Linked DNA regions of Danio rerio. The protein of the gene in region 1 purifies or fractionates together with the protein of each later gene. This does not show direct contact. Links are inferred from orthologs where the notes say so. Each region holds a gene or a part of one and is shown on either strand. Other genes may lie near its edges. The genes, in order: g6pd, hars and hspb1.

What was found.
Region 2: the proteins of g6pd (region 1) and hars fractionate together in Homo sapiens (co-fractionation; 3 studies listed by BioGRID). This does not show direct contact. The link is inferred for Danio rerio from reciprocal best matches to the Homo sapiens genes G6PD and HARS1.
Region 3: the proteins of g6pd (region 1) and hspb1 fractionate together in Homo sapiens (co-fractionation; 3 studies listed by BioGRID and IntAct, with this or other methods). This does not show direct contact. The link is inferred for Danio rerio from reciprocal best matches to the Homo sapiens genes G6PD and HSPB1.

What each region holds. Positions count from the first base shown.
Region 1 is NC_133198.1:15,411,547-15,415,813, reverse strand, and holds the start of g6pd (glucose-6-phosphate 1-dehydrogenase), read left to right. Parts: upstream 1-1,390; 5' UTR 1,391-1,411; coding exon 1,412-1,436; exon of another isoform or gene 1,437-1,599; coding exon of another isoform or gene 1,600-1,614; intron 1,615-1,780; exon of another isoform or gene 1,781-1,846; intron 1,847-1,921; coding exon 1,922-1,954; exon of another isoform or gene 1,955-2,062; intron 2,063-3,586; coding exon 3,587-3,705; intron 3,706-4,267. UniProt on the Homo sapiens protein: Catalyzes the rate-limiting step of the oxidative pentose-phosphate pathway, which represents a route for the dissimilation of carbohydrates besides glycolysis.
Region 2 is NC_133189.1:7,931,164-7,934,818, forward strand, and holds part of hars (histidine--tRNA ligase), read left to right. Parts: intron 1-1,165; coding exon 1,166-1,282; intron 1,283-1,373; coding exon 1,374-1,520; intron 1,521-3,655. UniProt on the Homo sapiens protein: Catalyzes the ATP-dependent ligation of histidine to the 3'-end of its cognate tRNA, via the formation of an aminoacyl-adenylate intermediate (His-AMP). Plays a role in axon guidance.
Region 3 is NC_133180.1:4,132,428-4,136,822, reverse strand, and holds the start of hspb1 (heat shock protein beta-1), read left to right. Parts: upstream 1-1,508; 5' UTR 1,509-1,572; coding exon 1,573-1,957; intron 1,958-4,395. UniProt on the Homo sapiens protein: Small heat shock protein which functions as a molecular chaperone probably maintaining denatured proteins in a folding-competent state. Plays a role in stress resistance and actin organization.

The DNA.
Region 1 (4,267 bases):
AAATCTAAATTTGTGCTTGTTAACATCAATGCACTGCAAGCTAACACTAACTGTATTTTCTTATATGAAAGATGTAATAATGTATTATTCCTTGTTCATGTTAGTAAATACATTAACACTTACTAATACAACCTTTTTATGTAGTGTTACCATTTAAGTTGTGTGATAAAATAGCTTTATTTCTTTATGTACAAAATATTGTCTGAAGAATGAAACTGTAATCTTATTTTGTAGCAAAGGTTTTTGAATTTCAGTGGGGCCAAAAAGAAGCTAGTCACAAAATTAAGAAGACTGACAGATTTGTTTGCCAGTTTTCTATAAAGTACTTGTTTAACTAGCAGTTAAATGCAGTGCTTCTGGAAAGTATTGATAGTGCTTCACTTTTTCCACATTTTTCTATGTTACTTCAAAATTCATTCAATTGATTTATTTCCTCAAAGTTCTACACACAATACCCCATAATGACAATATGAAAAACGATTTTTAAAATTGTTGCAAATTTATTAGAGATAAAACACCTGAAAAATCACATTTACATTAGTATTCACACTTATAAAATTATTAATCACCTGTTTCTACATGGTCTGTCTATGACTATTATACTATTCTCCATGCTTGTTGAGTTGCACACACACACACACACACACACACACACACACACACACACACACACACACACACACACACAGGGGCGGTTTTAATTATTTTGGGGATCATTCATTCATTTTTCTTGTCGGCTTAGTCCTTTTATTAATCCAAGGTCCCCACAGCAGAATGAACCGCCAACTTCTAAAATGCACCTTTTATATTTCATTTTTATTATTATTATTATTATTTTGCATATTAATAATAACATGTAAAGTATATTGTAAAACTTTTGAAACGATTTCTAAATCCGCCCCATGCACAGACCACACAGACAAACGCACACATGATTAACTATATCAGATCCATACATCAGCACTAGGTGGCGCAAAGGTGGTAAGTTTAAAAAATATACTGGTTATTTATTTTTACACTCAATGCTGCTTGCTCTTACTCAGCAGTTGTTTAAATAACATAAACATAATCTTTAGGGTAACATTATTCAAACAAAGTATAAATGTTAATATGTTGAATGTATGAAATTATACTTTGTTATTTTATTATCTGCAGTGTCATGCTGACACTCAGAACTCTTTTCCAGCTCTTATCAGCAAGACTAACACTCATTATACATTCCGCATGCGCGCTCTTTTGATTGGACTGATGAGAGTTTAGCGTGTTTGCCATTAAAGCGTTTAGCTGTCAATCACCGTGGCACATGTGTTGTTGTTCACAAGCGCCGCCCTCTGACACGTTGTCTCCGCCCACCTTAATTTTTCTCTAGCGTCGTCGCGTCGCTGACGTCAGTTTACTCCAGCCTTCTGAAATGATGGGCAGTCGAGCGAGCGCTGGTGAGTTTCTCTCTACACCAATAAAATCACAGAGCCTCACCGTGTCATTTGAACAGGGAAGAAGGAAACTGTCTTAAAGAAATGCCTCTGTAGTCTTTATTGTTACATCTCAGTCTGTTACATCCGTTTAGCCTTTAAATCCCAGTGTTTTTGTTCCGTTTAGTAAAGAACACGATATGTAAGTAGCACGTTGTTGTCATGCGTTTGATTCTGCTGGATATGTTCTTCTGTCTACTAACATTTCTAAACACAACTTGGCTTGATCTAATAGCATTTGATGTTTGGTTTAATTGCAAATAACCGAATGCTTGTTTTGAATGTGATGCATTGCATAAAATCATTAGCAGGCTGTTATTGCAGTCGCCGAGGCTGAGCCCTGTTAAATAAGGGATTGTGCTAATAACATTATGGTAAGTTCAGCCTGTGGGAGGTTGTGTTTTTGTGTACAAGATGTTTATATGTGCACTTTCTCTTGTATGCCACAGAGAGAGCACATACTACAGTCCCTACACACAGTGGTAGGATATATGTGTTTGTCATCATCCCTGTGCAGATCCTGTAGTTGTGTGATGTGATAAATTACTGGACTACTCTTAGAGCAGTTTTAGCTACTGTTGTTTATTAAGGTAAAGTTGGTTTTAAATTCACACATATCTATATTTTAAAGCCTAGTGTCCCATAATTAACAATATTATTGCATGTGAAACACACAACAAATATATATTAATAATGAATAAATATGAAATATTTAACAAGTAATTACAAATAATGTTTTTCTGAAGTGTTTGATGTTAGTCTACTGTAGGTACCACATATAGAGAAATCTGTTAACAAGTCTGCAGTTTTACTTCTGAACATTGTGTTGCTTGTTCTTATTAATACCTTTTATTATTTTAATGTGTGTATGTGTACTGAGGTAAAGTTGGTTTTATATTCGCACATCTGTTCAGTGACAACTTCCTGTATTGTTTACCATGGTACTTGAATATTCAGACTAAAATTGCATGCAAGTAAGACTTGAAAAAAATATTTACTTAATATTTAATACTTTAAAACTGTTTATTTTACTTGGAACAATGAAGTACTTTGATATTAATTGGCTGCTAATATGATTTCACTATTTATAATTAGAAACTTATACTTTTTTAAAATTATATTAAGGAGAAAGTCTGATTATGCAAACATAAAACAAACTTTACCTCAATTGTATGTGCGTGTTGTGTAGATTGGTTAAATCGCGCTTAAAAGACTTTGTGTGTGAATCTGTGGCATATTTTAAAACAGCTTTAGCCTTTCTAAAGTTTGTAATGTCTGTTACTTCCTTGTACGTTCATATCTATCTAAACAATTTCTAGTTAACTACTATTGCTTTAAATAATTCCATGGTTTCTGTGAGTTTGTTTGGGATTTAAATTCATAGGGAGCAGGTGATCATACAAAAAAAAATAAATAAATAAACAAAAATAAAAGAGCTTAAGGTTTGAGTAACTGCTCTCAAACTCTAGAATCTGGATGTAACTTTTACTGTACCTTTAGATAACACTTAGAGAAAGTATTTTCCAGATCTGTATTTTGCCTTTGTCTTGCAAATATCTAAATATTCTTAAATCAAGACATCTATTTTGGAAGCAAAATTATGACATGTTTTGTTTTGGTGAAAACATGTTTTGTTTTTGGTAAAAACATGTTTTGTTTATGTTAAAAAAATCCCATCTGTAAAAACAAATCTGCCTAATTGTCTCAGAAAATGTACTTATTTGGAACAGAAGCACTTTTCATACTGTAGAAGATTTTTTTTTTTTAGACCATTAATTGTGGATTTTGCATATATTGATAATATAGCCTAATTACTGTAGCTCCAATAAGGGGAGAGAATCTCAAATTGCTATGAAATGGTAAAACAAGATTTTATTTATTTCTTAATTATTTACTATTTTACTAGGAAGGAGAGCTAAAAATATAAACCATGAAAGGACATTACCAACACAAGGCTTCTATTTATCACTGCTAAAAGCATTTTTTTTTTTATTTAACATTTATCAAAGATAAGGACATGCTTTTTAATTCGTGACTGGAATTAATGTGTCTGATTGTATGAACATTTGAGCTTTGTGAGACTGTGGTTTAATCTTTTTCTGACCTCTTGGCAGACAAGATGAGCCTTCCGCTCTCACGTTCAGAAGTGTTTGGGCAGTTGAGGAAAGAACTGCATGATGATACCGCATTTCACCAGTCAGATGTGCATATTTTCATCATCATGGGCGCTTCGGTAAGTCTTTATTATTTTGATTTATCCGTCACATTTAATGAGGAATTAACACAGTTTCATATGCAGTCATGAATTTTCTTTTACTTTGCACACCTTGCATCTGCTTATGGACCACAAATAGATTTAAACATTTTTTTTTACAGTGACTGCAGATTTCTAGAAATCTATTAAATTTTCTGAATAGATACAAATGCATATGCTCATCATCACACCTTAGCTACGAATTTGTAAAAGCACAATGAAAGGGGATTTGTGTGTGTGCGCGTGTACGTGTGTGCGCGCGTGTGTGTGTACGTGTGTTTGTGTGTGTGTGTGTGTGTGTGTGTGTGTGTGTGTGTGTTTGTGTGCGCATGTATACAAATTAATTTCCAGATTTTTGTTTCATTTTACTAGAATGACATGAAATCAGAACTTTTCTGTCCTCTTTGTAAACATCTCACAACTCTCCCCCAGCAGCCCTTGCCACAAAAACTTATTTGTTGCATAGTTACACATGTCTGCATGATTTTAATAATTATTTATTTTTCCTTTATTACTTTATTATTATTGCATAATTCTTTAT
Region 2 (3,655 bases), on another chromosome or scaffold:
GGACAGCCACTCCCACTAGCCACTTTGGCAGGTTGCAAATAATGTTTACATTGTAGTTTTCTTAAAGCAGGGTTCGACAGGATTGCCCTATATGCGTGCAAATGTGATCTTAGAATCGGGAAGCAGCACGACTGACAAAAATAACTGTTTTCGCGCGAGCAAAAGCAGGTGAATACCTTATGAGAGGATGATTACTCGCACGCACAGGTGATGGGATGCGCGCGACTGTTAAAAAGCCTGCGCGCGCGTTCCCGTTTAATTGTGCGAAACAACCATGTAGAGGTAGCGCAACTGATGCGATCGGTTCTCTGAAATAGACTAGACAAAAAGCGATGCTCGTTTAAGCAGCAAACCTTTTGTAAGCAGCAGCAGCAGTCACTGCTTTCGTTTAAATTATTCTCCGGCACGTGATCATATTTTCATTATCACTCGTGGTATGTTTCACCTGCTTTCTTTTGCTTACAGTTATTTTGTTAATATAGTTTAATTATAATCCTTTGAAAATAACATTGCTTCAATATGAGATTAACTCGCCATATATGTGTAGTAACCGCTGATCTGGGACCTTTAGCCAGGAAAGATTACTGTGCATATTTTAGAAACATGACAATAGATCTTTTTACATTTTGTAAAAAAATAAATGTTTTGTTGAATAAAAAGTGCATGTATACAGCTATATATTTGATTGTTTTGACACATTTAAAATGTGTGGCTAAGAAATAATTATTCCTTTTTGGTGTGGTCAGAGATAAATTTGGTAAATCCTTAATTTTAAGCCCTAAAAAAGTCATGTGAAATAAAAACCAATTGCAATGCGACAACCCATTTGCTCATGCACAGTGAGCAAGCTCATACACAACACACACAGTGAAATAAATAAGGAGGCATGTGGACAACACAGCATCTAAATCAAGTCATTTTAACATGTCAAAGACACATTTATTAATACAAAATATATTTTTGAAGCAACAAAATTGTGGCTAGTGAAAATGGCAAGTGGCTAGTAATGTTGGAAATCTACTAGCCACAGTGGCTGGTGATCAAAAAAGTTAATGTAAAGCCCTGGTTACATTGTATTGGTTAACATGACATTTTAGGGACTGTGCCACCTTGTTTTTAATATGAAGGGTATTAAAATGCCAACATGCACTATTCCGTCCACCAGCTGTCTTCAGAGAAGGTGCGCACCACTGAAACTCAAGTGCTTGTGGCTTCAGCACAGAAGAACCTTCTAGAGGAGAGACTAAAACTCACAGCTGAGCTCTGGAATGCTGGAATCAAGGTTTGCATATGGCAGAATGACATTACAAGTAAATCGTAATGGATTTCCAGTTGTATTGAAGTTCTCTTACAATGTGTATTATCCACTGCAGGCTGAAGTTTTATACAAGAAAAACCCAAAGCTGCTGAGTCAACTGCAGCACTGTGAGGACACCGGCATTCCTCTCGTGGCCATCTTAGGAGAGCAAGAGCTCAAAGACGGCGTCGTCAAACTGAGGAATGTGGCCAGTCGAGAAGAGGCAAGATTTGATATTTTTACCATTTGAAATTATGTTTGAAGCCTTTTTTAATGCAAAAATCAACCTTAGGAAGCTTTTTTGGTGCAGATGTGGGTTCACAGTCATATTACAGTGGTAGAAATACACTTTTAATATCCTATTAGGTTTATCATAATCCAAATGCCAGCCATTTTGAGGCCAGCTGCACGTTTTTTGCAGACCACCGAATTGATTGACAGGCGCATACTGTCATGTCTCAGCCTTAAGCAGGTCGCACACCAAAAGCGCCGCTCAGCGCCACGACACGCGCCACGGCGCGCACATGACAGATTAAAGTATCGCGCACCAGACGCGCACATTCGAATGATATTTAACATGAAACTAATCAGATGGTGCTCTGTGGCGCGGCTGAAAATGAACTGCGTCCTGAGTCGTGGGCGGGCACCGCCGACAGCCGCCGACTTGCAGCGCCGGTGTGTGTATCCTGATAGAAACCTATGTTTTGAATTCTAAAATGCATGGCGCGGCACGCCGCCGAGCGGCACTTTTGGTGTGTGACCTGCTTTAGGCTGTTAAACATATGAACATAGTATCCGTGACATCACCCATAGGTTTCTGAAGAGTGCAAATGAAACCACATATAGGCACCATTTTGTTTGCACGTCATCGCGCTAACCATGGTTACCAAAAAAGGGCAAAGATGTGGAGCATCAGTGGAGATGCCTGCTAGCATTTTGCTTAGACGGGCTTGTCTTTGGGAGAAACTCTTAATACTTCATTACCTGCAGCTCGTTTGTGTTCTGACCTCTGACCTGAGCAGTAAAGTGTTTAGTCTTTTAAAAACACTGTTATAGTACTTTGAGCCACTAAACATTGTTCTTATGATGTTTTTCTACAGGAAGAAAACACAAATTACTTTTAAATACTTCAGATATAGTCTGTGTTAGTAAAGGCAAGGCTATTTATGAAATCCAGGCATAAAACTGTATGACAACATTTCAGATGACTGTTCTAGAGCCTACAGCTGATCAATCTGTCAGATTCTGGAGTGCATTACAGGTCTAAAGAAAATTATAAATGATCTTAAAACAAAAACATTTATAGAGATGGTATACAAGTATATAATTTCACTCACCTGGGAAATGGAGGCCACGTGAATGGTTTGTGAGCGCAATTAGGTGCACACAGCATGCCATATCATCTGATAATTGTAGGAAATAATTCCAAAAAGTAACTGACTGTGTAAAGCCACATAAAACACAACAAAAATACGATGTATATGCAGAGTTCAGCAGCTAATCAGCCGGAATCAGCTAAGGGGACATGACGGTGATCACCAAGACCTAGCTGTCACTCTGTCACTAAGTGGCCATGCCCTTATTTATGCAGACTTAATATAACTTAATATAAACAAAACGAAAAAAATTAAAAAAAATTATTGAAAAAAATCAGCCCACTCACAGTTGTCATAAAGGGTAATATTAGCTATATGAACCAAAATCATTCTTTGTACCAGGCTGTAAATACCTGTTTTTCTGCTGTAAATTTGGCCATTTTTACATTAGAGTCAATAGAAATTTTCTTTATTATGGAGCCAGTACTAGAGAAAATTAAAATTTTTTGCAGTTTCACTTTCGTATTAGCTTCATGAGAGAAAGCGGGATGCTGCCACTTGATTGACACGTCTAGTCATGTCGACAGAAAAAGATTTACAAAGAAATTGAGATGAAAAGATCTGTTCCAACTATCTGTGATCAGCTGCAACTCAAGTTTTAAAACAGTTCCTGTTTTTAATAAAGATTGTAAAATCGATATGCAATTCATAATCGCTGAAATCACCACAACTGCATAGTGTCAGTACGCAACTATAAACAAGTAGTCCTGGTTTGTGGAAGTTAATGTAATGTGTAATTTTATAGCGCATTTATTTTGTATGGCCATTAGGGTTGTGCCGATAGACAATGTCATCGTCAATCGCCGATGGCCAACAAACTTCACGATGCTGAGCCGGGATCGCCGCACATTTATATTGAAATATAACTTATTATTTGCATGTCATCTTAATAGCAAAAACGGTCTTTTCATGAGCTGTGTTAAATGTTACATAAAGCTGCCGCTTGCACGGCTGACGGCATCGTGAGGATTACATTAAGGAT
Region 3 (4,395 bases), on another chromosome or scaffold:
AGGTTTATAATATAATTAAGTATAATATAAATAAAGGTTTGCTCTGCTTTTTTGTTTTTTGTTTTGATTTTGCTTGTTTTGATTTTGTTTGTTTTGTTTTGATTTGTTTTGGGTTTAGATTTGATATGATTTGATTTGTTATGTTTGGTTTTGATTTGTTTTAGGTTTTATTTTCATTTGTTTTGGGTTTTGATATGATTTGATTTGATTTGGGTTTTAATTTGATTTGACCTGATTTGATTAAATTTGATTTAATTTGATATGATTTAATTTTGTTTTGGTTTTATTTGTTTTGTTTTGGTTTGATTTGTTTTGGGTTTTGATTTGATTTGCCTTAATTTGATTTTATTGCATTTGATTTGCTAAGCTTTGTTTTTGATTTTATTTTATTTGATTCACTTTGTATTTTGTATTTTGTTTTTGGTTGATTTTCACTTTGTATTTTGTTTTTGGTTGATTTTCACTTTGTATTTTGTTTTTGGTTGATTTTCACTTTGTATTTTGTTTTTGGTTGATTTTCACTTTGTATTTTGTTTTTGGTTGATTTTGTTTCATTTCTTTTGCTTTGCTTTGTTTTTAATTTGATTTGGTTTGCATTTTGTTTTGGTTTGATTTCCTTTGTTTTTGTTTTGTTTTTTGCTTTGGTTTGATTTAGTTTTGTTTTGCTATATAATAACATAATATAATATACAGGCAGGGTGTGTGAAAAGTGTTTATATACAGTCAAGCATTAAATTATTCATACCACTAGCCAATTCTAACTCAAAGTTTTTGTTCAAATGTAAAATGTAAAAAATAAAACACATAAAAATTCTGCATTGAAAAAAAAAGTCCATGATTTCAATGGTTAAAAATGCTACGGTAAAAAACCATAACGATTTTTGTAAATTATACAGTATTAACTGTGGTGTGAACTGTATTTTACTATACTGTAAAAAAAAATAATAATAATAATTATATATATATATATATATATATATATATATATATATATATATATATATATATATATATATATATATATATATATATATATATTTATTTATTTATTTATTTCACACAGCTCTACAGTTTCAGACATTTCGAATAATTAATACAAAATAATATAAAGATAAATAAGTCTGTAAAATAACAGAAAATGTAATAAGGGCAGTTTATTATAAGGTTTTTGCAGCGTAATATACAAGACAATACATCACTTTAAACTAAAATAATAATAAAAGTCAAGGTTCAGAGTTGTTAAAAGAAAGATCAAGCTCCCAAAATGCAATTCAAAAGTCACAAAATACAAAAAACTTGAATTCACCAACATATTGTTCACAGTCCAGTATTAAATACACACTATCAGCCTTTGCCTCAGATTCCTTCCTCATGCGAGGGCCGTCCCTGAATAGACTTTCTAGTCACTTCTATAATTATCCGGACGGGACTGGGCTGTTGCAGAAGTGTCCTGAAGTGGGTGTGTCCTCCAGAAAGCCTTCTTATAAAAGTCCCAGCCCCATGCAAACAATCAGAACACACACACACACTCTGAACCGAGCCGAAAAACAACTCTTCAAAACTTCTGCAGCAATGGCCGAGAGACGCATCCCATTCTCCTTCATGCGCAGCCCGTCCTGGGACCCGTTTCGGGACTGGTATCAGGGCAGCAGACTGTTCGATCAGTCTTTCGGGATGCCTGCTTTATCTGAGGAGATGTTGACGTTTCCCAGCACGCACTGGCCAGGGTATATGCGACCATTCGGACACCCCGAATTTGCTTCTTTAATGCAGGGCCCACCTGTGATGCCTCCTATGATGACCCCGAGTTACGGACGAGCCCTTTCTAGACAGCTGAGCTCTGGGATGTCGGAGGTCAAGCAGACCGGAGACTCTTGGAAGATCAGCCTAGATGTCAATCACTTTTCCCCCGAGGAGCTGAACGTTAAAACCAAAGACGGGGTGCTGGAGATCACTGGTGAGTTTATTTGGTTTGATTGCATTTTGATTTGATTTTAATTAGATTTTCTGATCTTTTTGTTTTGATTTGATTTAATTTGGTTCCATTTGATTTGATGTTAATTTATATTGTTTTAATTGAATTTGATTTGTTTTAATTCTGTTTGATTTTATTTTTTATTTGTTTTGTTTTGGTTTGATTGTGTTTGATCTAGTTTGATTCGGTTTGATTTGATTTTACTATTAATTTGATTTGATTTGATATTATTTTAATTTGTTTTGTTTTAATTTGATTCTGTTTGATTTGATTGCTTTTAATTTAATTTCAATTTATATTTTAATTGAATTTTATTTGTTTTGTTTTAATTTTGTTTGATTTGATTTGATTCCATTTTAATTTATTTTATATTCATTTAATTAGTTTTGTTTTGATTGTTGAATTAAATATCATTTAATTTATTTTATTTTACTATGTATTATTTAAATTTTGTTTTGTTTTAATTCTGTTTGATTTGATTCCATTTTATTTTTCATCAGTTTAATTTGTTTTGATTTGATTTGATTCCATTTGATTTGTTTTTTTTCTGTTTGATTTGATTCCATTTTATTTTATTCTAATTTATATTATTTTAACTTGATTTGTTTTGTTTTTATTTGAAACTGTTTGATTCTGTTTGACTTCATTTTATTTTATTATCCATTTATATTGATTTGATTCAATTGGATTTTTATTTTATTTCATTATCCATTTGATTTGCTTTATTTTCTTTTGATTTGATTTGAGTCCATTTGATTACATTTTATTTATATTATTTTAATTTGATTTTATTCTTTTTGATTTGATTCCGTTTCGTTTGGTTTGATTCTGTTTGATTATTATTTTTTATTACAAAATTTTGTATTATTATGTTTTATTCTATTTTATTTTATTTGGTTTGATTTCATTTTATATTATTTTATTTCATTTTGTTTTGATTTGATTCTGTTTGGTTTGATTGAATTTGATTTGGTTTGATTTCAATTTATTATCTTTTTTATTTGATTTCATTTATTATGATTTTTTAAAAAATTATATTATTATTATTATTTTTTTTAATTCTGTATGATTTGATTCAAATTTAATTTTATTATCCATTTAATTTAATTTTATTTCATTGATTTTACATCATTTTAATTTGTTTTGATTTGATTGCATTTGTTTTGGTATGATTCTATTTGATTTGCTTTAGATTTTATTACACATTTGATTTGATTTTAATTTATACTATCTTAATTTTAACTATTTGTTTGGTTTTTATTTGAGACTGTTTGACTCCGTTTGATTCTGTTTGACTCGATTTGATTTCATATCCAAATTGCAATTTTTATCAAAATAAATTATTAAAAATATAACTTTTAATAATTTTGTATTTAATTTAATGTCATGAATGTTTATCACTTATTTACAGAATGTCTTCGATATTGTATCTAGTATCATAATTATGATATTATTTAAATTGGCAGTTTTAACTTCATATATTAAAATGATGACTTTTTCCCCAATATTTGACTTTATGACAGTGTCTTTTTTGGCTTAGTCAGACCTTTTAATCACGACTTGTAAAATATGTTGGATTAAAAATGCTATTCAAAATAATAATGACACCCCCCAATGATTGTGTTTGTCCACATTTGATCCAACTTTGTGTTTTCCAAAGCATGCTTTATTATGTGCACAATTACAGGCTTGAGTGAGGAAGAGAGGTGGTCAAGTGTGAAATAAATGCATGAATAACAGGCCTTGCTGGGAGACCTTTTGTATTGTGTCGGGTGGGAGCTGACAAGAGCAGCCAGCTAAATTCCTGAGATATTACGACGCCGGAGCCAAGCACAGTTCAAAACAGCATCTGCAGGATATTTAGAGTTGAACAAGGATAAAGCTATACACTAAAAAAATCTGCATCCTCAACCTAAGGCTCGGATGTTTAGTTTACCCAAAAATGACAACTGTTTCATCATTCACTCACTTGTTTTAAACCTATTCGACTTTCTTTTTTCTGTTGGGCATAAAAGAAGATATTTTGAAGAATGTTGGAAACCTGTAACCATTGACTTCCATAGCATTTGTTTTTCCTACTGTGGAAGTCAATGGTTACAGGTTTTCAGCTCTCTTCAGAATATATTCATTTGTGTTCGAGAAGAAAGAACATTTAAAAGGTTTGAAAAGGTTTTGTGTGAACTATCTCTTTAATACTCTTACTATAAAACATTAGCAGTAAAATATAATCTTTAAAATGCTAATTTCTTTGCTTAAACATGCATTTATGCAAATATATGCTCTATAAATACAAGTTTGACTATTTTTCTAAATATTTTTATCATTTAATTAAAAAAAAAAGTTACAATTGGAACTTTGCAAGAACATATTTATTTAATATCTAATACATTTAAGGAATGAAGCATATCTTTTTTAATGCA